Drosophila melanogaster: one gene and its partners. The protein of the gene in region 1 interacts with the protein of each later gene in a pairwise test. Each region holds a gene or a part of one and is shown in the gene's direction. Other genes may lie near its edges.

Region 1 (6,221 bases):
GAGGAGGCCTCCACTTCGAAGCGTACAGCTGACAAGTTCAACGCAGCTCACTATTCAACTGGAGCGGTGGCGGCCAGTTTTACGTCTACCGCCATGGTGCCCGTTTCCCAAATAGAGGCGGCTATCATAGATGATGATTTGGTCAAGTACGAGCGGGTAAAAAAGAAGGGCTACGTTCGTTTAAATACGAACCTTGGCCCTCTCAACCTGGAGCTCTTCTGCGATCAAACTCCTCGAGCCTGCGATAACTTCATCAAGCATTGCGCCAATGGTTACTACAATAATGTTATGTTTCACCGGTCCATAAGGAATTTTATTGTAAGTACGATCTCTTTTGAGAGAAACTTTAATTTACTATGGTTTTATCCACAGGTGCAAGGTGGTGATCCCACTGGAAGTGGTTCTGGTGGCGAGTCCATTTGGGGCAAGAAGTTTGAGGACGAGTTTAAGCCGAATCTTACGCACACGGGCCGAGGAGTGCTATCAATGGCCAATTCGGGACCCAACACCAATGGCTCTCAGTTGTAAGTACCACAAAGTGACATTTTTTCAATGCTTTTGCAAGTATACGCTGTTTCGTAGCTTTATCACCTATCGCTCTTGCAAACATCTCGACGGCAAACACACCATCTTTGGAAAGCTTGTCGGAGGATTAGACACTCTTCAAAAGATGGAAAATATCGAGGTGGATAACAAGGACAGACCAATTGAGGACATCATCATTGAGTCCTCACAGGTCTTTGTGAATCCATTTGCCGAGGCAGCCGAACAGTTGGCCAAGGAGCGCGAGGAGGAGGCGGCCGGCAAGGAGGAGATTGTCAAGAAGGAGGAGCAGCAAAAGCGCATGAAGGAGCCACTGAAGGTGTACAGAGAGGGCGTAGGCAAGTACCTGAAACTTCAGACAGTGGCCAAAAAGCCAGAGGCGCCACTTACATCCGCTCAAGCAGCCAAGAAGAAGAAACTGGCGAATGGTTTTGGAGATTTCTCCAGTTGGTAACCCATTGTTTTCCAAAAATAAATATTTAAAAGACCGTTTTAGAAGTAAAAGTTATCACTCTTTATCGGTAGATTTGGTTCCCCCATCTGTGCGCTCTCTATCCTGCCAGCTTTTCTTCATTTCTTGCAGCTTTTCCTGTCGCCGCCGCCGCTCAGTGGACTTTCTCTGCTCTTGTGCCTTGACTTGCGCGGCAATTGAATGCTCTCCGTTTAGATGCACGTCCAGTTTTTCCAGTAGAAGTTTACGAGCCTCCACTCGATTCTTTGATGCTAGACGATGTGTGTGACACTTGACCGTTATATTGGTGGGTAGATGGCGCAAGAACACGCAGTTGGATGTCTTGTTGACAGCCTGGCCACCAGGACCACTGCCGCGCATGAAGGTCTCCTCGATATCCGACTCCTGAAGCACGGGAAAGCGGGAGTAGTCCAGATTGGACTTGCAGCGCACAGCGGTCGGAGGCAGCGCCAGGAATCGCACCAGACCTCGCAGCATTCCTACAGAATGCGTCCCTTCTTTAGCAGGGTCTCTCCGCGCTGAAATATAAGTTCATTTTGTAAATCAGTTATGAAATACGAAAGTGGCACTTACCTTAAAGCTGAATTCCACTTCCACGGGATTCGTAAGGGAACGGTTGTCCCGAAACTCGTGGCGAACTCTTCCCAGAAAGTAGTTCTTGTCGGTCAGCTTTAGGTGATTGCCGTAACGAATTAAATGCTTGTATAAACGCAAAATTTGCTGCCGCGAAGGTTGAACCATTTTCATATTTCACTCTCACATGTGTGACAGTGCTGGTTAACGCAGAACTACAACAGGTTGGCAGTTCAGCAAAAACACAATCAGCTGCGGCGTTGTGCGATCAAAACAAAAGCAACAGTTATAAAAATAAACATTTGAAAAAAACGCAATGATAAGATTATAAATCTTAAGTAGCCCACAATTTACGATTCCCCCACCACTGTTAAAAATTCCTAGTCACGGTTAAACAGTGTATTAAACTCTAAATAGGTAATGCATGTCACTTTAACATCTATTTTATTATCTACAGTTACGCTATACCTGAAATGCCTGAATACTTTTACATTAGGCTATCAATTGATTACTCCTTGGGCAACTTGTCAAGATCAATGCCGTCATCAATGGACACCCCTGTCGCCTGGCTCAGCTCCAGCATTTCCTTAACCTGGTGAGCAACCTCCCTGTCCACAACTTCTCCACCTCGATTCATGGTCCGTTCGATGATTTCCTCGTCAGACAGTTGCAAGGCGAACATCTCCTCGGGCGAGATGTCCAAGGGATCCACCAAACTCATGAGGAAACTGGCCGATATGGATAAGCTGTACGGCAGGAAACGCACGTACTCCTTCAGAAGCTCACCGCGACTAAGAAATAGCGTAATTAGTATTATATTATTTCTTGGCAGTAAAAAGCTTTACAGGATTATCTTATCTTATCACATCGAGCACCTAATGAGTATTTTTAGATTTTTGATTTGCATTCATATCGCTTGTTTGAAATTTTAAAAGCTTATGAATAATGAATAATAATAACAACTCACCTTAGGAAATCCGGAACCTCCTCCTTGGCGTGCTCCCTATAGCTATTATGAAGCGCCAAGGTGTATTCACAGAAGATGGCCTCGAAGTTTGGATCGCGTACCTCGGCAAAAATGGACACGGCTAGAAAGACGTTGAGATCGACCATGGGAGAGGAGACTCGCAATGTCTGGTAGTCGAACATCATGATCTCCTGCGGCTCCTCCTTGTCATCGTACCTGTACGCCACATTATTCCTCACATAATCGCCGTGGCACAGGGTGGCCAGTGGCTCCCTGGGCGCCACCCGTTGCCTACCGTATTGCGAATAGTCCGAGATCATGAAACAGAACTTCTTAACAAACTCCTCGTCGATCTGTGGCTGATAGGTGGCCACCGCCTTGGCCGCTCGATCGATGCTCGTTTTCATGGTGAGCTTCCATTCCGGATGAATGTTATCGTTGGCATAGCGAGATTCCTTCAGATTGTCAGTCAGCTGGGCAAACTTTTCCGGGTTCTTGTGCTTCATGGCGTACGCAAAGCCATGGAACCTTCCCAGGTAACTCACGGCAATCATGGCGTGCTGCAGACTCAGACCCACACGATCCTTGGTGACCCGCCATCCCTGCTCCGCGAAATTCTCCAGAATGGCCACAGCCGAATGCTGGTTCAACTCGCCGTAATAGTACTTGGGTGCGGCAAACTTGCCATCGGTGAACTTCTGAAACTCTGGCAGAATTTCCGTATAGAAATTTATCTCGTTGGTAAAAAGGGGCCCAAACTGTATGGATTCATACATTTCTGGTGGCATAGCAGGTGTTTTCTACAAAAAAAAAAAAAAACAATTAATTATTGGTATTCTGGGGTCATTGCATGCCAAAGTAAACTTCATCATTAGATGTGATTTATTTTGAATTCAAAATCAATTCGCTTTGTTCTTTTGTTGAGATGCCTCCCTCTATTTCACAATGTTTGCCATAAAACCCACACTCTCACTAAGCTATCTGAGTTTGCTGGAAAACAAAACTGGTAAGTAGTACGCAGTTAAGGCACTTATATAATATAATTTAAATTCCGCGAGTATAGTAAATCTTTTCGTTGTGTTTTTAGATATCCAGATAGATTGTTTAAGATTTATTTATACTATGTGAATGGAATAAACCTACCTTAACCACCATTTTTCGCTGAAACTTTTGCCCGTCGTATTCAAAATTAATGGTTGTCCGGTAGCAAAAAGTTAGCATAAAGGCCTCCGAGTGGCCAATTACATCAATGTCGATGTCCCCCACATGGAATGTGGTCACCTTGGACTCGCTGTAGTTGTCCACCAGGCGCCCGTTCCTCAGAATTGACGGAAGAACCGTGTATCTCAGCCATTGCCTCTCAGCCTCGATCTTCTCCATTTCGTCGGTACTGACGATCCCAACCGCTTCGCTTGTGGATAGCGAATGAGCATAAACCATTTCATATAGCTCATTTTGTACTACTCTCCAAAAGCTCATTCGTTGTTAGAGATTACACGATAAGAGCGAATTGGAAATGAAAAGCTTTCTAATCATTAAAAGCACTTTATGGTTTATAGAGAAGCAGTACCTACCTAATGATTAGCATGATGCAATTTGGCATGTTAAAATGATATGATAAGATATCATGACGCAAAGATAGGGGGATACGCTATTTATTAGTTTTAATTAGTTTTTTTTTTTTGTTTATTGTGTGCAAAGTTTAATGATTCCTTTGGATTAAGTTCTATTTTCCATAATCACAGGTATCGATATATTTTTAGTCAAAATTTCCAGTTTTAGAAAAAGCTATCCTACCGTTGCAGTTCGACTATCGACCAACTACCAATGGGCCTCAACTGGTATTTACTCAAAACGACCGGGTCAATGACCAGGGCCAACACCTACGTTCGAAAGTTCACGAATGGATCGCAGCAAAGTCGAGATATCAGCATGCCATCCAAAGTGCCAAAGAGGACAAGTGCTTCGATCAGGATCACGGATTTGGATAACATGTCATATATGTCCTCTTCTTCGCGAAAAGGCAAAATAACGAGCGGCCGACACGATCAGTTGAAAATGTCGAAGAATGCTCAACACGACGATGTCGTCTGTCCAATGCAAGCGAGTAGGAAGCCCATCGAGGAGCCCACTGTTCGGGATTCGCCACAAATGCGCGAGTTCTTCGAGGAAGTGCGTCAGCGAAAGCTCAAGGATTACTATCTTCAGATGAAGGCTGCACAAAGAAATCCAGCGATGTCCCATGTGTGTCCGGATTGTGGTTTTGTGAAGCGGGATAAGAAGGATCTCAGCAAAAACATTTACTGCACGGGGGATAAACGATTGAGGATAAAAGATTGTGATCGGCATGGGGATCTCACCTGGCTGTGGAACTCCTCCGCTGCATATCCTCACTCTGCACTTAGTTGTGGATGCAGCAGAGGTGTCTCCAGCCACTTGGAAACTTTAATCAAGCTGCACAATATAAAATGTTTAATTTAAAATTTGTAATTTTTGATATCTAGTTGCCAAGGAGTTTGCTGATAATACATCTGTTTTTCTCCGATATTTAGTTTCATTCTGCAATCCAAATCGTTCGTACCTTTCCGATTTGAACCCCACTCTTTCCACAATGTTTTCCGATCCCGCCCAGGAGTCGGTTGCCACGCAGACGGAGGCACAACCGGTTCCGTCGCCCATCTGCACCCCACTGCTGATGGTGGACGAGGATGGACGAAAGCGGTACTGCTACCATGGTGGAAAATGCAAGTGTGCCACTTGCGCACAAATTCGTGCAGAGCAGGCAGTGAAACTCGACCAGGAGCTGCTGTCCTACATACCGCACTCGAAGCTCCACCTGGAAGTTCCAATCCGAATGGCCAAGCCGAAGCAGTATCGCCTGGAAGCTCGACGGGCTACTCCCGAACTGGCAAAATTTCTGCGGGAGGATCACGAGAGGCTGAGGGCGGAGTATCCATCGTACTATCTCCCGGATCGATACTTTGGTAAGAAATTCTACGAGTTGCCAGGACCGCAGCACAAGGAGACCCAGACGGACATTCCGATTGGGCGTTACGGCATCGATGGTTGTCCCTGTACCAATAAATCGCTCTGCTATGACTTGTAATCCTGGGCAGGACTCAATTGGGGAAAAAAGAGTTTAATAAAAGTTCGGAATGTGAGAAGTATTTGCATGTTTTTCAATAAATCACTATAGTTAATTTCCCCGACTATCACATACCCATTACTCAGCTAGTAGGTGTGCAAATTAAATTTAATGTAAATAAATTGATTATCACTTATGATAATAGTTATGATACTCCTATTTCTTGGGTAATTTGGAATAGAAATCCTCCAGGAAATCCTTTAATATCAACTTGAACTTTTCGCCGTGCTTGGCCAATAGCAACTTGGCCTCACTGTCCTCATTGTCCAGCATCTCATCCGCTTCCTCCAGCACCTGAAGGTAATGCAGCCAAGCCGTTTCCAATCCCATAACCTGCTCAAATGTTTCCTCGCTAAGCTTCACCTGGTATTTGTGCAGCAGAACGAAGAGTTCCAGCATCGGAGTAAATGCGGACTGCTTCACTGGCACATCCTTCAGGAGTTTTTCAAAGAGCTGTTTGGCAGCCACCGTTTCACGGATGGTACGAGGAACCTTCATCACATTACGCTCGTTGCGTCGCA
Region 2 (8,382 bases), 4.3 Mb from region 1:
GTGTCGTAAAAAAAGCGAAACACTCCTATATGATTTAAACTGCATGTTTTGTAAAAATCTAATTTGATAATTGGTTGTAATTTATGAGTCTTGTCTGCTCGCCTGCAACATAAACACCACACGGAATGACGGAATGACGCCTTTTACTCCTCGAGCTCCTCCCCAAGCATGTTTCCCAGAAAAGTGCACCAAGAATTGGAAACTGGGAGCCCACTTCCCATCCACGGACTCCGAATTCGAAACGAGCGCACATTAAATTAATAATATGCAGTTCATTCTCTCCCGTTTTTTTTTTTTTTTTCTTAATTATTATTTATATCTGTCAGTTTATAAGGCGTAGGCTGGTTTTTTGGTTTGCCGGAGGCAGTTTTATGAATGAAATTAACAGCATAAGATGGGTGGAGATCCCAAAATTCATCACCGATATTTATGGCGGTCTTTTGGCAGGATAATGCAATCTGCATTTAATTTCCGCATTAACGAATACGTTCAAAAATATAGAAAAATTTAAGTAGTTTTCATTTAATAATACAAGCTGCTTAACAGGCAATATGTATAAAAAATTATACATATTTATACCACCTGATTGAATGCCTTCTTAATACTTTCTCTCTGCGGTCTGTTCTACATAGTTTCTAAGTACCTAATCATGGTATCATATTTCCATAACCAGCTCTAATAGGTCTTCACACAAATTAGCCTCGAGGCAAACAAATAGACAGCCCAACGAATCAATCAGGATACAGTTTCCCAAGGAGTTCAATGCTCGCCCGCAAAAGGAGTTCCAACATCACCTTCGGCGTAATCGGAAACCACACGAATATCCGAGAGTCAATGGCGTGGGAGTGTCACCGATGCCCGTTCCAGATACAGATTCAGATACAGATACAGATGTTAGTCCGGAGCAGCCCAATGATCGATGTGGCAGCGAGGCAGCAGTTAGATGTAGCTAACACCCTGCAGGACTTGATGCATCATTAGCTGGATGCGATGACAAAAAGAGGGCACAAAAAACATTGAAATTCTGGCCGGAGGACGGACTGTTCCACGCGACTGCCAGTGCAACTCCGGACGTGATTTATGCTGCGTGCGCCTGACAAACACTCGAGAAGTGATGATTTATAATGAAGATGCATGCTCGGTTATTAATTAAATTCTGACGCGACTGCGCTCCATTTAGTCTTAAATGCGAGAACCAAACAAACTGATCTTTAGTTAGCCTAAGGTTATGGTTGTCGTCTTACGCAATAAGGGCCAAAAGATCCTTAATTGATTCGAAATTCCAGAGGCAAATTCCAGTGCAAAGTGGTAAGAGGTATGCAAAATATGTTATGCTGAGAATCTTATAATAATACTTAAACATATCTGCAAGTTCATTTCCTTCCTCAGATTTCTCTGATCCAGTTAGGAAACTTAATATATTGACTTAGCCAAAACAAGATAGAATAGAATACTTATGTTCAGATGTTCGGCTTGAATGTGATTCCATAGATACCCATGGATAGATAGGTTATAAAGTAGCCAACAAATTGGTAAATACTCAAAAATGACGAAGTCGAAACAAAGTCTGCATTCTGTTTGGCAGTGGAATTTGAAATATGGCAAGCAATAGTCGAATATTCATTAAGCGCAATTATGAAAATTAAGTTGTCATTTTGATTTGAGTGCCCGCGACACTCGGGCATGCGGCCTCATAAGCAGATCTAGATCCCCCCCGCATCCGCAACCGAATCCGAATCCCCGCCAGAATTCTCATTAAATTAAATCAAACTGACAGCCCGGCCGGCTAAATGGATGCCCTGCGATTCGTCCCCTTTCCCCTTTTTGCTCCGCCATCTCGGCGACTAATTAACGTGTTTTCAGATATTTTGTTCAAATCGCGCCTGAATAATGAAGACGTTATCATGGGGCATCCGCGCATCCAGGAATGGGCACCCTGTAGCCCAGTAGATGTTGTGGATTTGGCTGCTGGCCAATTGGAAACTAGTGTCAGCCAGGCCGCCGGCTAATTTCTCAGATCCTCCCCTCCATTCGGATCCTGAGTGCCCCTTTTCCATTTTCCATTCTGTCTGAATTATGTGTTCATAATTTCGAATTAATGAAATTTTTACAGGGGGCTTGGGATTGGGATTCAAAGAAATAGAAAGTTATAATATGAAATATCTGTAAGGAAGGTGTTCTAAAAACTCAACAATTAAGTTATGATTCAAAAAATGTTGTGCTTCAAAATTACTGTTTCTCAGATTTAAATTGAATATATTATACACATTAAAAATGTTTCTCAAGCTAGTAGAACCCAATTATGCATTGCGTTACAATCACTTAGACTAATGGCCTTGTATTACTTTGTTAAGAGATTTAAAAAATTCCAAAAAATCGACAAAGAAACCATTTGTACATTTGAATACAATTTTTTGAATGCTGCATTGTTTAAAGAATTCTGAATTAACCCAAAAGAGGACACGTGCCTGCACACCAAAGCACTGAAAACAAATCCAGTCAAAGAAATTGCTCGCCGTTCATTAATCAAATGGATGAAATATGTTGGCAAACGTATTAAATATATTTAGCAAAGCCATCGAAATATTAAATAGCGCTACTTGTAGACAATTAGCCAAAAATTATGACTTTTAATCACGGGCAAGGCGACAAAAACAATTTCGAAAACCCAGAAGACGGCGTTGAACGCGAGCCACGCCCCTCATCCCAAACATTTCACACATGTTTTAAAAATAACCGAACTTGTGTGCTGTCTTCAGTGAAAATCGAATAGTATGTTTCTGTTCCTTTCTGTCGTTCTATTTGCGCATATGGTGTGAGCGGTGCGGAGATATATGATTTTAGGCTCCGCCCCGCCAGGCGATCATCTTGAAAAATCGGCCAGTGAGCAGGATGCTCCGCATATTCAAATTAGTTTTCCGTAAGATCTCCACGCGCGCTGTTGTCTCCGGAATATCTTCAAAATATATATCGCTCGCAATCGGCGGAAACATGAATTCGCAATCGGCAGTGCGTCGCTATCCACACAGTTTTTCCATCGAACAAATTCTGGCCAAGCCGGAAATGCGCAGCTCCACTTCCTTTGAGGACTCCGTGCAGGATGAAAGCGGTCGCGGTGGCAATTGTCTCGGTGCTTCACGGGCTTCCAGTCCGGCAACATCGAGTTGCTTGGATGACAACATGGACGACGGCAAAAGTGATATCGATTTGGCCTCAGATGATGGAAACGGTGCGTATGATCGATATGCCGGAATATAAGCTTTACAACGACGAGAATTTTGGTGTCTGGAATTGGATTTGGGATCTAAAAACTTAACTTAAAGCTCAATTGGATCCTTATTAAATAGCAAATATACAAAATATAGATTTATACTGAACTTCATCAGGATAAATAGCACCAACAGCCAAATAGTCAGTGCTTTAGTGCTTTTAAGTGTAGTATTATCAAGGTTCAAGGAATTATCAAGGATCTTTCAAATAATACAGTTACAATATACAAATTTTAAATTCTGAAAAAAAATGTCTCTAAAAGATGATTTACCTCCTAATGGAATCACCCATAACGAGCTCAGCACAGCCGTTCATTATTGTATGTAAATATGCAATGAGTTTCCCACCTGAACGAATGAGTGAGTGCCTATGGCTGAATGATCTCATCTGTCATCCGTGCGATCAAGAAACAAATGATCAGAAATTAGCTTCTGGGTGACAGGGAATAAGCCATCCATTCCATATCCACATTTTCGTCGACACCAACGCAGTCGACTAATGATGCAAATGTCACAAGCGAACAAAGATCGCTGGCGATCTCAAAGGAGATATTCTTCCACCCGTTAAGAAGGAATTTATATGGCTATTTGTTTTCGGTCGGCCAAGAGAATGTATGCCAAAATGGCCAATTAGACGCCTTGGCTAAGTGAAATGCAACAGTGTGATTTGCAATTTGCCAGGGGTTTTGCGGTGCGACGGGGCATTTTACATACACATACAACTGTGCCAACAACGGATCGACAAATTACCATTAGGCGAAAATAGTTGGCACCGCGCGCCGGATTGCCCGCTGTCGGTAGCAATAAATGTCTAATTGGGATTTCGATTTCCCACTTTGATTCCATTGCAGGCCTTGGTGATGACCGCAAAAAGCGACCGCGTACCGCCTTCTCGGCAGCTCAAATCAAAGCACTGGAAACGGAGTTCGAAAGGGGAAAGTATCTTTCGGTGGCGAAGCGAACTGCACTGGCCAAGCAGCTGCAGCTCACAGAAACGCAGGTTAGTTGTGGAATCTATCAAAAAATTTAATTACTACCCAAAAAAGTTTGCCATTCTATCTAAAAGCGATTAATAACATGAAATGAAATCCCTTGTATCTATGAGATACAATTGGCATTCCTCGTAAATAATTCATTCATTCATTTCACTTTTCAGATCAAGATCTGGTTCCAAAACCGCCGCACCAAGTGGAAGCGCAAGTACACCTCGGACGTGGAAACGCTGGCCTCGCACTATTACGCCCAGCTGGGTATCGGGGGATTGGCCAGGCCGATGGTGGTTGGTGATCGCCTTTGGCTCTTTAGCCAAACGCCAACGGGTCCCACGCCCATTCAGTCCATTATGCTAAATGGCAGTGGCTCCGCTGCACCCATGGCCTCAGCAACGACGGCCACCGGCTCACCCATGCGTCCGTACGCGACTAGCGGCGGAATGCCACCGTTGCCGGGTCCCAGTGTGATGGAGAGTGCCCGTAATGCCATACTGGCACGTGGACAACCCTTGAACTTCGCCCTGCCCTTTGGCGTGGCTAAGCCGCCGGCGGGTGGTGTGCCTGCGGCCAGCTACATCCCTCGCTGCAAGCCGTATGCGACCAGCTATGTGGACTACGCGGCGTCACTGCCAACGAACGAGAGCTATCTGCAAATGAAGTACGCGACGCTGCCGCCGGAAGCGGAAAGCGGCGCCTCCAATGGCCTCGCCGAACTGGAACGCGTCTTTGGGGATGCCAATGCCAACTTTCTGCAACAACGCAGCACGCCAGTCGCTGGAACAGCCACAGCCTACGGCCACGATGGATTAAATCAGGCGCAGCGGAGCCGCAGACCCACACAATCGGAGTCCGAGTGCAGCGACATTGACTGCGAGCATCTGGACGAGGATGAGGAGCCACCTGCTGCGGAGTGAAAAGGCGATTGGTTGTCTTTAGAATTTATGTTCCGTACGTCTCTCATACACACAAAAATATGCTCATACAAAGTGTAGTCATAGGGGGTAGTAGAGTAGGTGTCCTGTCTGGGTTGATTCCATTACAACTAGCTGAGAGTGGCACACTTTCAGATCTGGCCGGGATTACTGGCGTACCCCTGGTGGCTCAGCACTGGTCTAGTTTACGTTGTGGTTCTAGTACTAGTACTAGCGCTAGTTATTGCTATTCTATGTTACATTGTGTGGGTCGGGTACTGTTTACTGACTGGCTCTCAACAATTAATAAATGTAAATTAAATAATCAAAAATCACAAATATTACACGTCCGTTGCCGTTAGAACTCTAGTTGGATCAACTTAAATGCTACAAATTACACGCTGCATACTATAACTTAACCATTGCTATAACTATTTGCAATTTAACACGATAAATTGAGAGAGATAGACAGATAGAGAGAGCTGTAACAAAAGCGAACGACACTGACTTATTTACAATTCATTGCGTTGCTTGTGTGGCTGGTGTGCTAGAATGGAACACTTTTGGCTCTTGCCACACACAGTTCGGTTCGGTTGACTACTATACATAGTGGAGACTCATTTGATTTGATTTTGTTACGCCAACAGTAGGTCCGTAGGCTAGGGATCTGGAGCAGACGAATTGCGTTTTCTATCAGAAATCAGGGCTAGTACTCCAAGTACTCCTGCCTACGCGATGGCTGCGAACAGCGTCTACTGTTCGAGGAGATTCCATAGTTACAACTTAGCTAATTGGTCAAATAAAAATTAAAACTCATAGGGCTATTTTTGGTATTGCAAGCACGCGGAGCTAGCTGCGTGGTAATGGAAGTGGAGCTGGCGGTACTCTGTCCTTAGCGTCGTTAGCTCCAAGAGAGCTCGTAGCCCTTCCAGTTGGCGTTGGGTGCCAGATGCACGCGCCGTTTGTTGTAGTAGAAGGAGACGATGCCATGGTAGGCAGTCCGCGGAACACCGCTCTACAAAGATTAAGAATAATCATAGTTTCAAGCACATAGATTGATTGATCTACCTTGAAATCATCCATAAGACCCAGCATCTTAGTTGTCCGCTTGTACTGCTCCCTAGTAGTGTATTGAATGCGAACTGGACCTTCGATTCTGCAACACCATAATTGGAATTATGTAGATACTTTCTATATATCATATATCAACTCACCTAATCAGGTTTCGCCGCAGCTCATCGTACGTAACAATGGGATACGTATAAACGCGCCGCAGAAACGTGTTATCGTAATTGTCCTGAACATGAAATAGTTGTTAGTGTAATGAGGCAACAATGCACGGGTGTGTACCTACCTTCAGCAGGTAGCTCATATTGATTTTTGTAAACTGCACAAAGTCCTCGCTCAGTTTAATGTGCTTCAGATACTTATCGAAGAACAAACCGCTGTTAAACAACAAATTATCATTATTAGCTGGCACGTTGCATTGTTAGCTAGCTATATCTCTTACTTGGAAACGCCTATTTTTCCAAACGTGCGAGTGCGTGATATTTCGGGCCTAATGCACACGCGATCTTTGCGCTGGGCGGGATGACGTATCCAATCATCCCAGAAGCTAGAACAGTTAATGAACCATTAGCGATTGGCTGGCAAACACCATAATTGCCCCACTCACGATTTGGGCCATTTGACCGACAGCTCGGCCCACAGATCTTTGGTGAGCATCCAGCCGAGACCGGGAAAGAAATCGGTGCGGTAGAGCAGCTCCGGCTGCGCGGCGTCCACAACAGCAGCCTTGCCATTGTCATTCCACGCGGACACGCACCACAGGCTGGGGTCCTGCTTGAGCAGCTTGTGCGTGCCCAGGAAGTACTCAAAGAAGTCGGGCGCCACGTTCAGATCGTCCTCGACGATTATGACGAACTCAAAGCCCACAGCGAAGGTGGTGTTCAGGGCCCAGCCGTAGTGTCGGGCTATCTTGTAGTAGCCTTTGAATTTTTTCTCCTTCGGCAGCACTGTGATGTCGCTGAGATCAGGCTGCTCGATGAGCGTGACCTGTTTGCCATACGAGAGGATTGCCTCCTTGGTGGGCTCATCGCCGCAGTCCTGTATTAGAGCATAAGTATAAGTATAAGATTTAGATTGGGTAGCCCATTTCGATCCCTACCTGTGACACAATAATGGGGAACTGCTCCACGCTGGGCCTGTACTGAACCAAGTTATCGATGCACTTCTTCACCGACACCCGATTGCAGGCGAAGACTACGACTGGAAACACGGGCTCGCCATTGGCCAGATATGTTTTCGTTGGAATGCGCGCCGTTGCCGACTTGGCCACATGCTGCTCCGGCAGCTCCGCCGATATTTCGGCGGCAATTATGCTAATTTGCGGCGTGGATGCCACCGACGGTGGTTGCTTCTCCAAGTACTTCAGCTTGACGAACTCAAACACGTTCTTGGCCAGATGATGGCTTTGCATATTGGCATCGCGAGCCTGCGAGTTGAGCTTGTAGGCCTGAAGCGACTGATGCCGGCTCGTATGGATGCCCGTTTGGCGCAACAGCAGGTAGTAGGTGGCATAGGTCCACGTAACCAGAAAGCCAATTACCAATAGCACCTTGCGCGTTCGCATCTTTTTGGGGGGAAATTGGTGGGTGGGGGTGCTGATGGAACTGGTGGACGTCTGCTGCAGTGCGTCGCTAGCGATGCAGCGGCATTGGCGATCGGTTTTGGATACGGATTCGGTGGGATTGGAAGACCTCGGCCGGCCCTTCTTCTACAGCCGAGCACCCGTGTCGAGCAGCCGTGTCCAACAAGCGTGTCCAGCATCGGGCACGGGCCCAGCCGGATGCCTCGGCATCTACTGAATATGTATGACTAGCTGTCGCCGGTCACACGTCACACACCAGCGGTCGCCAAGCTGGCAGATTTCGCCGATTCTCGGGGATTCGGGATTTGGATTCGGATCGAATCTGTGTGTGCAAATCGAATTGTGAATGTTTTACACGTTCGGCGGCTGCACTGGAAGCTCGATTGACTTGTTCGCCGGTTGGAGTGACGAGTTCGATTGCCGCGCTGCCTCGTCCAGCGTCCGCTGACAACCAGTGGTTACGTGTTTGGTCGTAATTTGTATAAATTCAAAATGTAAACCATTTCGTGAAACGCCAGCGTTTTAGAGATGGGGCAACTGTGGTCCTCCGCTCGATACTA
Region 3 (7,730 bases), on another chromosome or scaffold:
ATTGTGTGGCCAATTGGCTAAAACAAAAACACACGCATTCAAGCCATTTTGGGCAGCCTGGCCTAATCGAAGTCAAGTGTGGACAGACGGATCGAGTTTCAAAAAACAATCACGACGGCCTTGCTCTGGAAAGGAACTTAAGTTCGATTTCACCAAGGATAGCACCCTTCCTTGCGTTGAGGGAAATCACCGAATGAACCAACCCACATATCGAGATACCGATAGCAGTGATGGCAAGGTAGTATTTAGTGAGGTACTGACAAAGTATGGATAGCTATTTGAGATGCGATTTAAAAAACCTTAAAGCTTGAAACTAGATATGTTTTTTAGGAGTTAGGGAAGGAAAGGTATTAGTCTATATTCCCTCCTTATTCATTAGCTAGTGGACCATCTCTACCCGTATATGGCGATGTCTTTGGTATTCATACAAAGTATTCCCGGGTATGTTTGCATTTTAGATTCGCATAAAGGTAAAACTGTCACCAATAATAGCCCAGCCCTGACCGCACATAAAATCCTTGCTGCGCCATCCTGAGAGAAAGTGAGACAGATGCCTGAAGTCAGAGAGGGAGCGCAAGAGATGGCTATAATCAGTATTGGCATTTTAAGTGACACTTGGTCTGCAGAGCTCGGCAACCCCCACAAGCCCCGCTGTCACACCAATCTGGATCACATCCCCCAACCCCAACGGCGAACCAAAGTCGCGCCGTGCTCCGCCATTTGTATATGAGCCAAATAAAAATGCATACCAAATGAGGTTGGCAGCACTGCCAGGATTTCGAACGGCAGGAGCGGTTGGAGCGACTCCTGGGGCGGTATTATTCGGAGGCACTTGCGCCAAACTTTGCTGCTGAATATTCCATGAAGTTGCCAATAAAGTCAAGTGGCAACGACTGAAGCTGTGGCTGCACCAGTTACAGTGCATACACTGAAAGAAGTTCGGGCATTTATTCCAACTAATTTGGTTTTACCTTCGGTAACAATTATAAAATTATATTTTTTCAGACATTGATTATTAGGAATATTCAGCTCTGAGAAGTTAAAACTCCAAAAGTACTGTAAAGATAACAATTAGATTCCAGAGGTTGGTTTTATCCTGTATCCTTACCCTATAAAGCTATGAGATTGGAGCTCCAAGGTTTTAGACCAAGCGGGTACGCCAAATCGGTGATCCTTTAGGTGGGTACTAAAAAAATATCCTACAACTAAATATAAGGATTTTCACAGAAAGTCGACAAGCAGTTAACTGATTTAAAGTTAATTGAATTTCACCAATAATCTGAAAGACACAACCTATTCTCCCAGTGATTGTGTAGATACACTTAGGCTAAGTTTGTTCTGGTTGTTGCTGTTTTGTCTGCCACCCGACTGCAGTGCGACGCTGCATACTAATTTTCCACAGCCCTGCCACCGCCCATCGCCCACCGTCATCTCGTTCTCATCTTGGAATCGGAACCACCACCACCAGCCTCTTAGCCATCTCCTCCTGCCCCTGCATGAATGCGATGTGGTGGTCTGAGCCTCATCATTTCGTATTCATACCAAGCACCAATTCCTCGTCGTTGCTGCCGCTGCAGTTATTGTTGTTGCCTGCTATTAAGTGAAATAAAAGTAAAAATGCAATAAAAATGTTGGCCGCCTCTCGTTTTGCATTAAAATTGCATTACAATTGCCGTGGATGGGGCGCTGTTGTTGCTATCTTTGTTGCTTTTATTACGGCAATTGTTTCTGCGTTGTTTCTGCCCAAATGAAATCCAATTAGCCGACTACAAGGCCTACCAACCAACGACTGCCAGCAGCAGCAGCAAAACAGCAACAATGACATTGCGAGGCGGTACGAAGAGAAATGGAGTTCGCCTCGTGACTTTTTCCAGAGTCCTTTCCACTGCCAAGTGGTGTGCGTGTGCTTTTGTGTGCCTTGCCAATTGAATATGCAGTAATTGCCTTTCTTCATTTTTGGCCATGATTTTTTGCTCGTGTCTGACACAGAAACATGGCCAGTTAAGTGCAGAAATGAATATTTATAGTCGTTACTTCTAGGATCGGACTCCGTTTAAATGCAAAGTGAACGGTTTGATTCTGCAGCCCACTCTCAAGAAAAATTGAATAATAATCAAATTATGAATAATGATATTATAAAGATAGGTAAAGATATGTAGATATAATTAACTAACATAATTTAACATTGAACAAAAAGCTGCATATGCAGCTTAAAACCAGTGATCAATATGTACATACATTGGCACTCTTTTAAATCACAGAATAGTATTTGTGAGGTACAATATAAGACCTTAAAGCAAATCATGTTTAAGAGTAACCAAACTGTGCAAGTAGAGATATAGTAACCCTTTATTATGAAATATAGATATAATTATCCTCTGACCAGTAGCGAATCTCCTAAGCGTAGTAATGCATTATCCAAGTTATCGCAAATAGGATTTGGGATTTTCATAACATTGCCTTATTCTGAAGGGGTTCACATTCCACATCTCGACTCAGCTATCTCAGCTAATGAAAACGGAGTACGCAATCGCTTCTGGCCACACACACGCATTCCATCCAGGCCGGCTAGAACAACACCTGAAACTGAGACTAAGACTAGGACCGAGATCCCGGCCAGCGATGAGCAGTAACATGGCTCGTGCCCAAGAAAAACTGTCAATTAACCCGTGGGGTGAACTTGTGGAAAATGCCAGAGCTGCTGCATCCACTGCATGCCGCGCAATTTGCATTCGCATGGCCGGGGCAAATGGATTGGATTCCTGTGGCTTCAGCTCGAGTCTGCTTATCGCAATCGCCGCCTGCCAAATGCCAGGCGATAGCGCGTAGAACTCTTGGCGCTAATAAAGATCTCAGTAGTAAGCGGTGTGAGGTGGTGAGGGGTGACATTAGGCGGTGGTGCAGGGCAGCCCTCCTGGCCAAATCCGCTGCTTTGTGAACTCAAGCTGACAGAACGCTATTTCCAATTGTGCTATTAATCTGCCACATTTGCACTTCCGCGGAAAAGAGTCGGCGGGCGGATGTGATCTCTTTCGCTCGTCAGTTGGCTGACTCGCTCTGCAGGGGTGATTTGCGGGCGAGCGAGTGAGACAGAGCGAGGCAGAGTGGTAACGCTTGGCTAACCTGAAAATAGAAACAATCGAAATAAAAATACATTCTCTTCATGCTCTCGTCTAATAAAAAACCCCAAAAGCAAAACGTTTTCCATTTAAAATGTCGTCGCAACTGCCAGCGGGAAGTGGACGTCGAGAGTGGCAAGTGTGTGGGGCAAACTCCGGCCAGCGGCCAATGGCGGTTGGCCGAGGCCACGCCCCGTGGCTCAATTACCGACCAGTGCTGCCCATCGGCGGGCAGAGCGAAACCTGTTTCCACGAGCGAGAGGCAGTCAGGCGCATGTGCGATCAGAGCGGGATGGATGGCTCAAGGGTGGACCAACCAGAAGAGGCAGGTTGCTGGTATTATGGTAGGTTAGGTTCAAACAAGGTGGCAAACTGGCTCTTAACCGAAATAGGAAGGAAGTCGGCAGCGGCGTCGACGTCGGGCAACTGGTTTGACTTGTTTCCGGCTCACTCCAACAGCCCAAACCCACCAGCAATCGGCAGAGGCAGCCAAGTCGGCAGAGGGCAGGCAGAGCAGCGGCCGTCGGCACAATTTGATTGCATTTATGAAAAGCGTTTTCGCCCGCTAGCACGCGTCCGCTCCCAGCTCGCAATTCGCCATCCGTAATCCGTAAACTTTAATCCGTAGACCGTAATCCGTGAATCCAAAGCAGTTCTCAGTTGGAATTTCCCGCAACGGGTAGTGCTTAAGCGCGGAAACTGAATTGAAATCAATCGGACGATTAGTGTGTGCTTCGCGGTTGAAACACTCTACATCTAACTATTAAGAGAAAAGAGTGCCCAATAAGATTCGAAAAGTGCAGTGAGCGAGCTCCAAATTGGCGCCACTAATTGCCAAAATGTCCAGCCACGAGGAGGATGACCATGAGCACGAGAACGAGCACGGCGAAGAGGTGGAGGAACAGGAGATCCACGTGGATGTGGACTCGGACTCGCGGATGTCATGTGGCAGCGGATCCGATGTGGATATGGACGGCGGCAGCTGCTACGACGAGTCCGAAACGCCATTGAGGTGAGAAGGAGAGCTTTTAAATAGAACCAGGAAGTAGGAAAAATGTCCCAAAAATATAGATATTATCAGTATAGATATACCATAAATAAGCAGATCTTCCAATTACAATAAGACTTCTACATATACATACATATATTATTTTTTTAACTAGATTGTGATAAAATGCTTTGGCTTCCGTACTACTTACTTAAAACTGAAGAGGCCTTTTTTTTTAAAATTCATTTTGGTAAATATTTTTCAAATATGAATAACGTCTGAATTTATGTACGTTGCAAAATCGAACAATAAAAAATATTTTTGGTTTAATTGTATCGTAAATAATCTGCTACACTAAACTTGAAAAGAGATTGCATCTCTATTAATAATAATAATGGCTTTACTTTCAAATTATACGATGTACAAACATAATAATTGGTCTGAAACAATTCATTACGGAAAATCCCCAAAAAAAATATATTAAAGAAAAAGCTCAGTTTTTCGTTTACTCTTGATGGTTATGATCATCATGCAAATTAATAAATATTTTTTTGTAAGTACTGGGCTTGATTTAGTTGGCCACATTATTCGTTAATTACTCATAAGTCAAAATTTAGATCGACAGCAATTTGATCGACTAACTGAGAGAAAAAGATCTATAAGCTATAGTTATAATAGTTGGCATACAGTCTTATTTTATTGCCCTATAAAAGTCAAACAAGTATTGTGGCGGAGAAAAGCTATTTGCATTTGTTATTACGAGCTCATAACTCCCACTGTTTTACGATCTTTAACATTGTCACTCATAATGCTCACAAATCCTATTTTTCGAATCGTGGCTCAACGCCATTGAAATGCGTTGATGTTTAAGCCCCATTGTCCGCTCTTACAAATGGTCCCATTTTCCAGCGACAAAAGGGGATAACAAGATGCCAGAGCATCCAGCAGACCGTGTTAACTGATCCCATTCAAGCGTTTGTGCGCTTAGAAGAACAGTGTGAACAAACCTCTTAAACGCTAATGAATTGACCACAAAGCCACCAAAAGAATCAAGTCGAAATGTCCCATAAAGTGCCAAAGAAACTCCCTGAATTTACATAGTTCACGGATGGCCAGGGTTTCCAATAGACGACGACGATAAAACGCACATTAGTAAGGCGCCAAAAACGGGCTGTGATAAGACATTGGGGTCCATTTGGGGCTCAATCTGGAGTTGGATCTTCGGCTTGAATGCCGGACAAAGACGAAATCGTTTGTCGGATTAACATTTTAATAGAGATCGTCATAAAAATGCCATAAAACCCGCGTTCCAGCGAATGTAGATCACCAGATAGCAGCAAGTTTTGGCCAGTGAAATAATATGTGTTTGCTCATAACTTTTGATATTGGAAAGTGTCTGTGTGTCGGTGGTTGGCGATTTGAGATCATTGTTCCGATACAATTCCATTCCTGTTCCAAATGGGTTTTTACTTTTTGGATTTATAAATTAAATGCCGTGCGTGACTTGTTTTCGGTGCGTCAGTTGATGGCATTTGATGATTTATGGGCGCGTATTAAATGCCTCTAACGGCCGTCAGCATTTGCATAATTACTTCATTTCCAGCCGCATTGCGTATACGCAGCGGTGGCCACACGGGTTCTGCATGTCATGTCGTCAACTCGGCTTATCCGCTCGCGTGGGCTTTTGGTTAGTGGTTCCGAGACTGGTACGCACTGCAACAGACTTAATTATAGTCAATGTTCTCAGGCTTTCCCGCTTATCGGGCGACACATTTTAATGAGCCCGCACCTCCAGAGGGCTTCTTTCCCTTCGATTCTGATGTCTTTTCTCCGGTTTTTATTCCCAGCGAGTCCCTGCAGTCGGAGCAGACGCGCTCCTCGTCCAGTGAGAATCTGCCCTTCAGCATATCACGCCTGCTATCCAAGCCCTTCGAGACGAGTCACCACCACCACAACAACAACAACCACCTGCTCAGCAGCAGTCCGGGCTCCAGCAGCAACAACAACAACAGCGGCGAAAAGGGCGAGGAGAAGGAGCTACTGCAGCAGGAGGACCACGACCTGGCCTATAAGCTGGCCACCAGCATCGCCAACTCGACATACGGAAGCGCCGCAGCACTATACTCGTATCCGCATCTCTATCCCTCAGCGGCCGGCGGTCATGTGCTACGTGTACCGCCCCAGAGAACGCCGCTCACCTGGGCACTACCGCCACTGCATCACGCGGCGCTGGCACATCAGGCGGTCAAGGATCGGTTGGCAGGTGAGTGAATAGCAGCGAAGTCAAGAGGGTTTGCCAAATCCAACCCATTCGGGGCCCCCATGTCGGGATGGCCCATGTTCGCCGAGATCTTTCGGGGGAGCGATCCTCCAATGACCCGCGGTGGCAATTGCTACTGTTCCCCAAATAAGCACGATCAGAGAAGACTTTTAAGGCAACATGCCTATCGGCATGTCATTGTTGGCCAACACATTCGTGCACCAAGAGAAAATGTGGCATTTGAAATAAAAGAATTGGTAACATTAAGAATAAAAATGTTATATATGTGCCTACATAACGCGTAGTTGGATGCATTCAATTGTGCAATAGGGTGTAGGAACATAATTTTAAACTTCTTGATAAAACATATTTTTGTATATTCATTGTTGAAAATAAGGTGCGAAGAACGTTGTCTAATGGTCTAAAAGGGCTTACTTACATATTTCCTTATAATATAATTACGATGGTCTATTAGATGGTATTTTCTGTGGGTAAGAAACAGCTTAAGGCTAGAACACAGGTCTCATAATACGAATTTTCGCTCAGTGTACACTCACTCTGGTGAGCTTGGGATGCTAAAGTATAAAAACATGTTTGCCTTCAAATGCGCAATCGCAGCTTAAGTTAAAAACTTAACGCTGAGCCGCCGCCCAGAAGCGACTCAGGAATGAGATGCGCCTTCTTATTTGCATGCGCATGCGCAGTTGAATTTGTATCTGTATCTGTCGCTGGTCCTCTGAATCCGTATCCGAATCTGTATCTGTATTCCATCTGAATCTGCAACTTCACGTGCAGCTGGGTCTTCTGGCTCCCTTTTTGTTAATTTGTTTACATTATGAGCTTCACTTGTAGCTACAAGCGATGGGCACAGCGCGAGCCCTTTGAAATAATGAGACGGCGTTGATTTTATTACGCCTCGGCAGCCGAGGGATCTTCAATGGTGTGGAAGGGGGATCCCGATAGGGTTCGGATCCTATAACTCATAATATTCGGGCCTTTTTCGGCCTTGTGATGTGGAAAAGCTGCTTAGGAGCAGCGCAGCCCGGCAATCTGACGGGCTTTTATGGCCGACATCCGCCCAGTGGTTCTGGTTAGCTGTTTGGCCTTTTTCTTCATTTTAGTTATTTTAATGAGCTGGTTTACATGACTTTTTAATTTCGCGCTGCGCTCGAAAAGGAATTAATTACGCATTGGGCGGTCGCTGGGCTCAGCGAGTGAGTTTTCTGTCCTCGCCGGCTTATTTATCGCCGCATACCGCACTTCACATTTGAGTCCAACTGACATGGTCAGCTTTTAATTAGCCAGTCGAATGCTGGCGATCCGAGGGCTGCATATCCATATCCATACTTGTGTGTATATCCGC
Region 4 (10,956 bases), on another chromosome or scaffold:
GTTCTATGGCGCTGTGTTCATACCAAGGCAATTGGTGGGATGAAATTTGGTCTTCCACCATTAAGTTCTTTGACTTAAAAATACTTTTACATTATACATTATTATAATATATTATTGAAAAAATGCCTTTCCGATATTTAAAGGCATAATAAATTAACATAATCTTACTTGGTGACCATAGAAATGTACCTCTGCCCTTTAATCCAGAGTGGTGTTACTTTTGACCAGTTAGTGGAAGAACCCACTTTCGAATCCGTCCCTGATCTCTGACTAATATGTAGCGCGTAGGTCTGCGAGGCGATCGAGACCGTAGGTAACACGAGATGTGGTGGAGACTTACAAACGAGGTACGCGTCGGATAACGCTTGCTGACGATGATCGCTGGGTCCTCGAATCGGGTATTCGTCGGGCATGGCTCTCATGGGTAGGGGTAGAGGTATGGGCATGGGTATATGGGTATCAGTTTGGTGTGGGTTATGTGGCTGTTGTTATTGGTGGCCTACTGTGGAGCCTGGAGACAGCAACACATTCATAATTTCTTCCGATTCGTATCGTTTAAACATTTTAAATTGATTAAAATGCGATAAATCATAATCGCCAACGTTGGCCCGAACGCAGACACTCTGGAACTTGGTAACTTGGGAACTCGGGGAACTAGGGAACTGGATGAGTGGGGGACTTGGGGACCTCCTCGGGACCATGTCCGGGTGATGGAACGATTTATGCGCCTCGAACATAATAAAGTGTTAACGGAACGAGTTATTAAGGTAGTCTCAATCCTATGGCCTAAGTTAATAAAGGCCAAAGGCAATTTGCATGGCCAGTGTGTGACGGCGTGGCAGCGTCTTAGGTTGCATCTAGGCGTACATAGCTCTGAGCAGGGGACTCAATCTCGGTCTATGCTATGCTCACCCACCGATCGACGGACACACAAGATGTCGGGAAATATAACATAAGCCGACCACACGTACGTCTCCCATGCCGCACAGCTGGACGCCGTGCCCAGATCTCAAAACTCAGAGCGAAGCTCAGTTCGCTGGATTGCGGAGGAAAAGCTGGAACGCCGTGTCTTGTGAGCAGAACAATCAATAAATTTGAACACGTGAGCGGACGCGAATGCGGACGGCTCTCGACGGTAACAACACTGATCCTATAGTCCCCAGTTCCCAGTCCCCCACTACCCCTCCACAAAACAACAGCAAAAGCAACAATTCAGAGCGATAAGTGATCAATGCGCCGTGTCGACTGATTGGGCAGCATCGGTGATCCAATGAGGTGGGGCAGTCGTAGGATTTGACTTGGAGAGCCACCAATTTGTGCTTATCGTCGATGGCGCAGAGAAAGTGATTTAAGCTGACCGTTCCTTCAATTAAAATTTAATTGTCCACTAAAGAAGTTACTTTATTGCTCCAAAAGCTAACCACGATTTCAAGTTGAAAGTGAATCAGTAGCAATCCTCGAAGTTGTACCACGGTGTGGCATCCACATCGTCCGTAATGATGGGTTCCCGGCGCGCTGTCGATGGGCCATAGAGGTTGTAGCGTCTGGAGCCAGCGACGATCTCGCGATACCGCCTCACCGGCGCCCTGGACATGTGCAGCTCCATCAGATCCCAGTCGTTGACGTCGCGGAAAACGGAGCGAATCATGTGCATGCGGCCCAGTAGCTCCGTCTCCCGCAATCCCTCGTACCTTCGGCCAGTGCGGGCCCGGAATGTCTTATAGACCTCACTCTGCTGCTTGGTCTCCGTCGCCGTTTGCAGCTCCTTCCTGTAAAGCGCTCGTATGCCGCGGCCCAGGTGGCGGATGTGCTCGAAGTTGCGAACGTTGAGCGCAACCAGAGCAACTGCGTCCAGATTCAGCAGCTTGTGTCCATCAATGTAGTTCTCCCGAAAAGTTTGCTGTAACGAAGCTATAGGTTACCCAACATAGTGAGTAAGAATCTTAGCCCACCTCGTACTCGGGATAACCAAAGTTGCGCAGCCAGTCGGTCACATCGTTGATGCTCCACTTGAAGACCTCAGTGCGGGCTTGGGAATCCACGACGGCGGCGCAGAGATTGAAGAGCGAGTCCGGCGAGGCCTTGAAGGGTAGCGGCACATCCTCCTTGTCGTACTCCACGTCCGGAAACATGTAGCTGGGATAGCGAAAGCAGAACTCCTGCTCATCCTGCGGCGGCTCACAGATATCCGGACTGTCCATGCCACTGGCACTGTGCGGCAGTGGTGACGGTATGGTGGAGCACCTGGACGCTGAGAACGACTCCATTCGAGTGGTGGCAGCGCACTGTTCCTGGGCCAAAGTGAATTGAGTTGCCCCGCAACGATTTGGTTGCGGTTTCCAGCGATTCCTCAAGAATAAGTGGCGTTCGTGTCTGTTTACATAGTTTGATTGCGTTTCGCTTTCATTTGTTGTATGCCCTATAATTTTCCGGGAAAAGTTGTTGGCTACAATCACTAAGGCTCAATTTGCACTTTAAATGGGTTAATGGAATTTAAGCCATGCTCTTTCCAATCAGTATCTTTGAACGTTCGGCATATCCTGGAATGTATCTGAATCTTTTTTTTTAAGTAAAAAGGATTATTTTATTATTAATCGGACTTCACTTTGAAGAGGATAAAAGTGTCACCGACTGGCGATGGATTTTCCGCTGCCATTGCATTTGCATATTCCACATTTTCTGGGTCACTTTGTGGGCTTGTGGTGCTAGGGTGTTTTTGGCACCAAATCCGCCCGCTTGGATGGGAGTTTTGTGCCGGAAAGTATGCTATCTTAAGGTAGTCACGACAATTTTCCTATTAATAACGCCAGTTTCGCTCCGCAATTTACACATTTCTACTTAAGTTTTCCAACCCCGACGATCCGTTCGTGTTCCGTTTTGCGGATTTCCGCTTGTGGAATGCGGTTTCTGATTTATGACCACCAGTCCCGGTTACCCACTTCATTGAACCCAGACAGCGTGGAGCAGGTGGAGTTCGCGCAGATCGCTCAATCCCAAGCCAATGGAAGGCACATTCCTTGGGCGCGAAAGCGAGATGCCGCATCAGCGCCACCAGTGGCTCCGCCCACCACTGCGGATCGATCGCATTGGCCAGAAATCACGAACCACGAGCCACTCGACATGGCCTCTGCGCAGGGAAACCGGAATTCGGATGGGGTGTGTGTGTCTGTGTGTGGGAGTACGGGAACATATGGAGAAATCGGTAAACAAATCTCGGCTGCGCTCGAGGAAACGATCTCCGACTGAGCTAATGACACAGCGGCATGCTTGTGTGTAAACAAGCGATCGGCATGGCAAGGTATCCCATCTGTGTGTGGCTACAGTGGGATCAGGTCTATGGTAAGTGGATTAACATAATTTTAGGGCACTTTCTAGAGGTATATAGATCTTCAGCGGAATAGAAACCAATGTTACCACCAACCGAAGCCCAAAAATCTAATCTTTCTTGATAGTATTACTCTTCTTGAGTATTACTTTATAAACAATATACACGTTGGATAAAAAAATATCCTGGTTTGTATATCCTGTATATCGAACATATAGCCATTATTTATTGTTAGCATTATATCCTGATCATCTCGCACTCCTTGCCCCACTGTCAGCACCAGGAATACACAATCTCAGCGAGATTAACCCCACCGCCAACAGACTGTTCCGCGTTGGCTGGCCGATCGGCAATCGATGGCTGGTTGAGCGTGCTCCCTGGCCGGTTCCGATCAGTTCTGAGTGGGATGTCTTGCAAGGCGGTTTAATCGGAGGTGCACGAGACCTAAGCCAAAATTCGCGATCGTTTTATTGGTGCACAGCGACGGTGTTTTGGACATGATAGATAGTCCCTATCGATTGTGAACGTGTGAAATCAGTTTTGAGTGTCCTGTGTCGAGATTCGTAGATAGAAACCATATACAACACATATCCGGACAATGTTACTACACGAGAGTGCCGCCAGCATGGAACAGAGTATGCCCGAGAACCTCAGCACTCACATGTACGGCGAGTGTGAAGTGAATCCAACGCTGGCAAAGTGTCCCGATCCAGTGAATGTCGATCATGAGCTGCCCACCAAAGAATCCTGTGCCTCGACTACCATAGTCAGTACGTCGCCAACCAGCGCCACGAGCACCACCAAAGTCAAGCTGAGCTTCAGTGTGGATCGTCTGTTGGGCTCGGAACCCGAGGAATCCCACCGGCAGAGCTCCTCCTCGCCCTCGACCAAGTCATGCTGCGATGGCAGCATTCTAGCCTGCTGCTCCTTCCCCCACTGCTTCAGCCAGGCGAATGCCGAATCCCGTAGGTTTGGACATGCCACGCTTCCGCCCACTTTCACACCCACTTCATCGCACACGTACCCCTTCGTGGGTCTGGATAAGCTGTTCCCTGGCCCCTATATGGATTACAAATCAGTGCTCAGACCGACGCCAATTCGGGCAGCAGAACACGGTAAGGATGCACTATACTCAAAAGGGAACATCCTTTGAATCCGAGCAGGTTTTACAAAAAAAATGTCCATTTGAAAGTAAATCATTCAAAATTACCATTAAGTGCACGGCATTTGGAACATCATGAGCAAACCGAGTTGATAGAAGGAAAACATTTAATCTCTGTAAGGGATGCCTTAAATTAATATGAACTATATTGGTACTGATCCGTATTACATGGATTATAGGTACCTAAGTGTATTTTTAAGATACTTTTAAACTTAAAAGGAATCAGCTCCATACAGAAAGCTATTGAAACATCATTCGTTCGCAGTGAACCTCTTCTAGTTCCAACAACGTACCACTTATCAAAATAATATTTTATACCCATGACTCTATCTTGTAGATACGATCTATCATCTGCACTATTTCAATCTCCCCGTATGTTGTGTGCACTTGCAGCGCCAATAAAACTGATCAAAGCTAATCAGATATTGCGATTTGTCAATCATTCTGCATTCTTTCCATGGAAATATGCAGGATCTCAGGGAACGATCAAACGAGTTGATGAGGTGGCTTCGCCATTTGCCCATCAAAATTCCTTAGCTATTTCGCTCTGTTTTTCAATTATGGACTATAATTATTAGCCATGTTGAGATTTGCAGAGAAAATCGTGAAATGGAATTTAGCCAAATGGGAAATGAACATTCCTGGAAACACAAAGAGTGAGAACCTAAGGCGCAGCCCCAATAAATTTCACGTTTTTATTTGAATTATTAGTTGATCTGCAGCCATATTGTGCAATATTCCTGCGGCCAAATGTTCCGCGCCTTTGGCTCTTGACGAAAACAATTCGATTTTTGAAATCGACAACAAAATAGTCCGGATTGTTTTGGGTATTTGCCGTACTTCCTGCTGTTTTTGTATATCTGGGGACGAAGACTTCTTATAAAGCCTGCAGGCTGCCAGCGCACTTTGATCTTGTTTATGTGAAAATGGAAATGGAAATGGAAATAGTGAGAGCAACATAATCGGTAAATGTTTCGCTTTTCGAATAGAAATTGTTCATTGTTTAACAAGCTGCTTGAGTTTTATACATATCGTCAGCACAGCCTTTTCCCATTCAATATTGTACACAATTCTTATCAAGTGGGTGCTAACAATGCGAGGGCCTTAAACGATCTTAAAGATCTTTTGCGGATAAATGAGATACATATTTGGTTTGGGATTCCTCAATGGATAAATTGATTAGGAAATGTCTGAGATATTAATTTATTTCAAAATAAGAGACCCGCAAATATGTGGAGCTATACTAAAATGATGTGTAAATGGTATTAGCGAGCTTAACTTAAAGCTTACTATAGTTTAGACCTAGTTACAAGTAGCAAAATACAATTTTTTAACAGCCGACTAAAACATATTCAAAAAAGACTTTGGTTGATTCATCCAACGTAAATTCGATACTAATAGCCCTTTAAATTCCGCCAAATTCCAGCACACGATTAAATTATGTAGCAAAATTAGCGCCAAACTTAAATAAATTACACTTCACACAATGATGGAACATTAATGAAAATTATCATCAGTGCTAAGTGGTTTTCAAACACATTTGCTCAGCCAAAAATGGGAGGAGCAATTAGTAAGGCGAATAAATTCGACATAGCTCAATCAACAAAAGATCGGTAAAAAAAAAACGAAGAACAGACAGCACCTGAAAGGCTTCATCAATCCTTTGGGCACCGCAAATAGATGAGATGCCAAAGACCAAAGTGGAAAATTAAGAACAATTTATGAACAAATTACGAGTCAGTCTTTAAAAATAAACTTCAAGCTCACACGGATCGTGGAAAACGTTTGTGGCGAACAGTTTGTTTATTTGCTTGGGCAATTGGCCCGTCATTCATGGGCAGATACAGATAGCTATCCATCTAATTGCCCGCTCTCTAATGAATTGTTCCGCCGGCCGAGGAGTTCGACAGGTGGAGGCATCTTTGGCCCGGCTAGAGACGCGGATCTCTGATAGATTGGGCGCCACGGTTCCAACTACTGCGGCTCAACCGACTCCAATGAGGCTCGGCTGCCGTTTAGGCCAACGACAGGGAACTGCTGACCGATGGATGACTGTACCGGGTATGGGTACGGGCACGGGCACGGGTGAAACTATGCGCTGTTCTTTGGGGGCCGAGCCAAAAGGCCAAGTATTTACACAACCACCCACTGTGGTGGCCTTTTCAGGAGGAGGCTACCCTGTGGCTGCCCGCCGTGTCCAACCTGCCGGCCCCTGCGGAATTATTCCGTGATGGATTGATTGCATCGCATCGCACATCATAAAATCATGGACCAGCGAGATCTCTGCGGCTCCTCCGTCGACTATTTGTTGCTGTTTGCCTGTCCCGCCTGGCGATGAGTAGTTTGTTGATCTGTTGTTGTTGCTCTTCTGGCTGCCGATCAATCGATCCATCCATCGATCGATTGGATGCTACAGACCATTGTCTGATATGGAAATTCTGTCTGAACAATAATCCGGCGCCGTGGGTCTAATTAATTAGCAATTTATATGTTAATCCAACTGATAGATGCACTTTCAAAGCGTTCGAAGATCCCTGATTAATGATGGCCCTCAGACGATTTCTTTTGGAACTTTGAAGACTCTTTCTCAAGTTCCCAACAGCAGGGGAGGGTTGTAGCAATAATAATTACCACGCACTCAACTCAAATTAACGGGACTGATATATGTATGTAGATACCACAACTATAGGATTAACTATAATGAATTGAGTGAAAATTGACGACAATCCCAAGTAGCTAAAGATATTTCACGAAATATACAATTGAAATATTAGCTATACTTTTGATTTCACTTAAATATTTTGAAAGTACATAATGCAGATAATATATCTTAGTGCATAGTTAGCTGGTAAAAGTCAGAGATTCGGATGTTCGGAAGTAGATACATATGTATAATATATTAAAATCAATCAAATAAACACATACTCCGCTTGTCGAGCTGGTAGTCGAAATTTCCATAGCACATGGCCCACTGGGAGTGCTCTGCTTAACCCCAAAAGATCATTCGCAATTTACCGCGAAATAAGCCACAATATTCGCCAAGTCGTAAATGTGGAATGCATCGTGCTAATAAATCGATGCAACTTAAATATGGCTGCGAAATGTACGATTCGCAAACACATCCTACTGGAGATGCATCTGCAACCCAGACCCTTGAGTGATTTAAGATGGCATCCGAAAAATTATCACAACTCATTAAGATATTTACGGGTCCGCTGGCGGTATTTTGTAAATGTATCTGAACGGGAAAGTCGGCAATTAATGATCTCGCGCTGTGAGTGAACCCCAATGCCCCGGCCAACATCCAAGGTGTTGAAAGTCGGTGAAAACTCATTATAACAAACCCCCGATGGTTGACACAAGCCAAATGCCAAAACGGCCAATTAAGGCGTTATTAGCCCCTGCAGATGTGCTGAGATTCCATTGGCGTTCCCGATGCAGATACACAAGCGCACGGATTGAGATACAATTGTATCCACAAGTGCAGAAGCGCATTTCCGCTGCAGTGTAAATACACACAATCGATCGAGTAGTGTGTTGCTTAAGTAAATAAAACGCTCGATCTCGAAAACAATTAGGCGCATGCCGCGAGCACACAAACAAATCGAATTCCACATAGCACAACGTTAAAAAGGCAATAAAAAATACCTATGATAATTTAGCGTTGGCTACAAACAAAGAGGAATGGTTTGCAGTTTGAAATCAAATAAAATTCAATGAAAAAGTCAAGGATAGGAATTAAAATTGTGGCCTTTTAACAACATCAGGATTACATTTCATATCAACATTAGTGAACATTATCGTGAACTGAGGATTCAAAGGAACTTTTTGTAGCATACTTTTCAGCGGAGTCCTTTGAGTTGATAAATGCCGTAATGATCTTGATTGAAACTCAGTAGTTAGATAAAGGATAGTAAATGCCAATAATGATTGGAAATACAATAGGAAAGTCAACGTCATTCGAATTGTTTCTTACTGCGTGTATAAATTCTTGGATATTTAAAAAACATTTAAGGGAAGTAAAGCACCCTGGTTCGACCTCAACCTCGTGTGCCCCATGTCGTGTTCGATTACCCCAAATAATTTTGGATCTCTAGAGGTAATTGTTGTTGTTTAGATTCGCGCTAGAAGTAAACAAATTTCGTTTGCCCCCCCTAGCCACAAAACGCTTCAATGATAATTTCCAATTAAGTGAAAATTTTATTATAAACAAGCCCATTTAAAAATTCTCAACATGCATTTTATTGATCAAAATAATTTACTCAGAAAACACAAAAAATTGAATTTCATATTTTCTTTGGCGAAACAAGTATCATTTCTTTGGCCGGCGATAAATGTATTATTTCCTGCGGATGCAATGTGCTACCAAGGGAGGATGTTGTCCATAACTAATGGTAGTTTTCCTATAAAAATAAATATCCAAATTGGTGCGTAAAAAACGCACCGGATTCAGTATAGCAACAAATTAAGAGTTATTGCTAATGAAGGAAGTATGAATCTCCCAATTGACTTTAACATTCCATTCCCGAACAGCCGCACCCACTTATCCCACGCTGGCTACCAATGCGCTCCTCCGCTTCCATCAACATCAGAAGCAGCAGCACCAGCAGCATCATCATCATCAGCACCATCCCAAACACCTCCATCAGCAGCACAAGCCCCCGCCACACAACTCGACGACAGCCTCGGCGCTACTGGCGCCGCTCCACAGCCTCACGAGCCTCCAGCTGACGCAACAGCAGCAGCGATTTCTGGGCAAGACGCCGCAGCAGCTCCTGGACATAGCGCCCACCTCGCCCGCCGCCGCCGCCGCTGCCACATCCCAGAACGGTGCACATGGACATGGAGGTGGCAATGGCCAGGGCAACGCCTCAGCCGGAAGCAATGGGAAGCGCAAGCGATCCTGGTCTCGCGCCGTCTTCTCGAATCTGCAGCGCAAGGGCCTGGAGATTCAGTTCCAGCAGCAGAAGTACATCACCAAGCCAGATCGCCGCAAGCTGGCGGCACGACTGAATCTCACCGACGCTCAGGTTAGTTAAAAGATGGGATTTTCATAGTTTAACATTTGCACATTCGACTCCTTTCATAGCTCTATAAAAACCAATATATTATTATTTTTATACCCTGATTAGGTCAAGGTGTGGTTCCAGAACCGTCGCATGAAGTGGCGGCACACGCGCGAGAATCTGAAGAGTGGCCAGGAGAAGCAGCCGAGTGCAGTACCCGAATCCGGAGGTGTCTTCAAGACATCCACGCCATCCGGTGATGGTACGCCCCAGGAGGCACTCGACTACAGTTCCGATAGCTGCTCCAGTGTGGATTTGAGCGAGCAGGCCGACGAAGATGATAATATTGAAATCAATGTGGTGGAGTAGAGCCGCCTATGTAGATAGCTCCGTTTACACGTGTAAAATGCCATGTAGATGTATTTATTCCTTCATTGCTAGTTGTAATGTAATGTAAAGTAGACAGATACTGCACAAAGTGAACTTAAATTATTTCAATCTGTAAGATAATCTAAACGTTTATGTGTAAACTATTTAAAATAAATTCTCTAGTAAAATGAACTTGTGAATTCACAGCTTGGTTTATTATTAATTTATTATTCACTATTCCATAGAATGAAGCTATAAAAATACGCAATGCTACGCGGCAAGAACAGAAATTTTAATTAAGCAAATACCGCTGCGATCAGCAGAATATGAAACTCGGCGACAACGGGGAGACCTTCTCTAATCAAGTGAACGATAAAAGACGATACGCGACTGAATGGCCAGAGCAAATACGACTGGAGTGAGTTGGTCAAGCGCGGGGGTGCGAATGGGTTTATCCAATACGATCGGATCGGTTGGTGGATCGCGACAGGGGAGTGAGAGGAGGGGGCACTGCGGATATAGAGCACTAATTAGAAAAACAGTGAGGGTAAATTGTTGGTGCACGACATTGAAATCTTACTCACTTGGGCTTTATTGTCATTGTCGGTCTCTTTGGCTGAGTTCGTTCATTTTTTCAATTACTTTAAGACTCCGCTGAAATTATAGAAAACTATAAAAAAATAACAACGATTTATAGCTGAATTTAAAGAACATTACTAAATAGAGAATAGAATAGAAACAATAAATATATATTACTCATACTTTAGCTGCAATCTTACGTTCATATATGATTTATAATTATATGCGTAATTCCTTTAGGGTATTTAACAGTCGGTGAATGACATATGCAATTTCAGCTCAGTTGAAGAAGTCTGTTTGGGCAACATTTGCTCACGTTCAGTTGTTTTTCCCAAAGCGAAGTGCGCGGTTGAGTTTCAGCTTAGGTGTTTGGTACTGCTCCAGAATTTAAAGATCTTTCAGATCTGCACATTGGATTTGCAAAGATAGCCTGGGCAACATGGGCAACACCCAAGCCCGACAACTGGAGAACCGCCAAGTGCCGAATCGGAGGAGCAGTGAGTGGCGAAAATACG

What was found.
Region 2: the proteins of CG30324 (region 1) and lms interact in a two-hybrid assay, tested with the Drosophila melanogaster proteins (one large-scale study listed by BioGRID).
Region 3: the proteins of CG30324 (region 1) and C15 interact in a two-hybrid assay, tested with the Drosophila melanogaster proteins (one large-scale study listed by BioGRID).
Region 4: the proteins of CG30324 (region 1) and H2.0 interact in a two-hybrid assay, tested with the Drosophila melanogaster proteins (one large-scale study listed by BioGRID).

The regions. Positions count from the first base shown.
Region 1 is NT_033778.4:16,287,086-16,293,306, reverse strand, and holds CG30324 (uncharacterized protein), read left to right. Parts: upstream 1-5,073; 5' UTR 5,074-5,166; coding exon 5,167-5,661; 3' UTR 5,662-5,721; downstream 5,722-6,221. Other genes in the region: CG7747 (uncharacterized protein), read left to right, coding at 1-318, 373-524, 583-997; CG30100 (uncharacterized protein), read right to left, coding at 1,052-1,492; CG42372 (uncharacterized protein), read right to left, coding at 1,495-1,533, 1,589-1,756; JhI-26 (juvenile hormone-inducible protein 26), read right to left, coding at 2,097-2,379, 2,556-3,355, 3,699-3,935; CG30099 (uncharacterized protein), read left to right, coding at 4,383-5,036; CG9068 (uncharacterized protein), read right to left, coding at 5,857-6,221.
Region 2 is NT_033778.4:20,553,967-20,562,348, forward strand, and holds lms (lateral muscles scarcer), read left to right. Parts: upstream 1-2,910; 5' UTR 2,911-2,991; coding exon 2,992-3,229; intron 3,230-4,120; coding exon 4,121-4,269; intron 4,270-4,425; coding exon 4,426-5,175; 3' UTR 5,176-5,987; downstream 5,988-8,382. Other genes in the region: Mgat1 (mannosyl (alpha-1,3-)-glycoprotein beta-1,2-N-acetylglucosaminyltransferase), read right to left, coding at 6,074-6,187, 6,241-6,328, 6,387-6,469, 6,527-6,617, 6,683-6,787, 6,848-7,278, 7,340-7,804.
Region 3 is NT_033777.3:21,496,300-21,504,029, forward strand, and holds the start of C15 (C15), read left to right. Parts: upstream 1-3,686; 5' UTR 3,687-3,958; coding exon 3,959-4,131; intron 4,132-5,954; coding exon 5,955-6,370; intron 6,371-7,730.
Region 4 is NT_033779.5:6,012,161-6,023,116, reverse strand, and holds H2.0 (homeodomain protein 2.0), read left to right. Parts: upstream 1-3,714; 5' UTR 3,715-3,923; coding exon 3,924-4,440; intron 4,441-9,020; coding exon 9,021-9,517; intron 9,518-9,619; coding exon 9,620-9,862; 3' UTR 9,863-10,058; downstream 10,059-10,956. Other genes in the region: CG13996 (uncharacterized protein), read right to left, coding at 1,445-1,900, 1,953-2,267; CG9098 (uncharacterized protein), read left to right, coding at 10,881-10,938. UniProt on the Drosophila melanogaster protein: May play a role in pattern formation during embryonic and imaginal development. Is not essential for visceral muscle morphogenesis.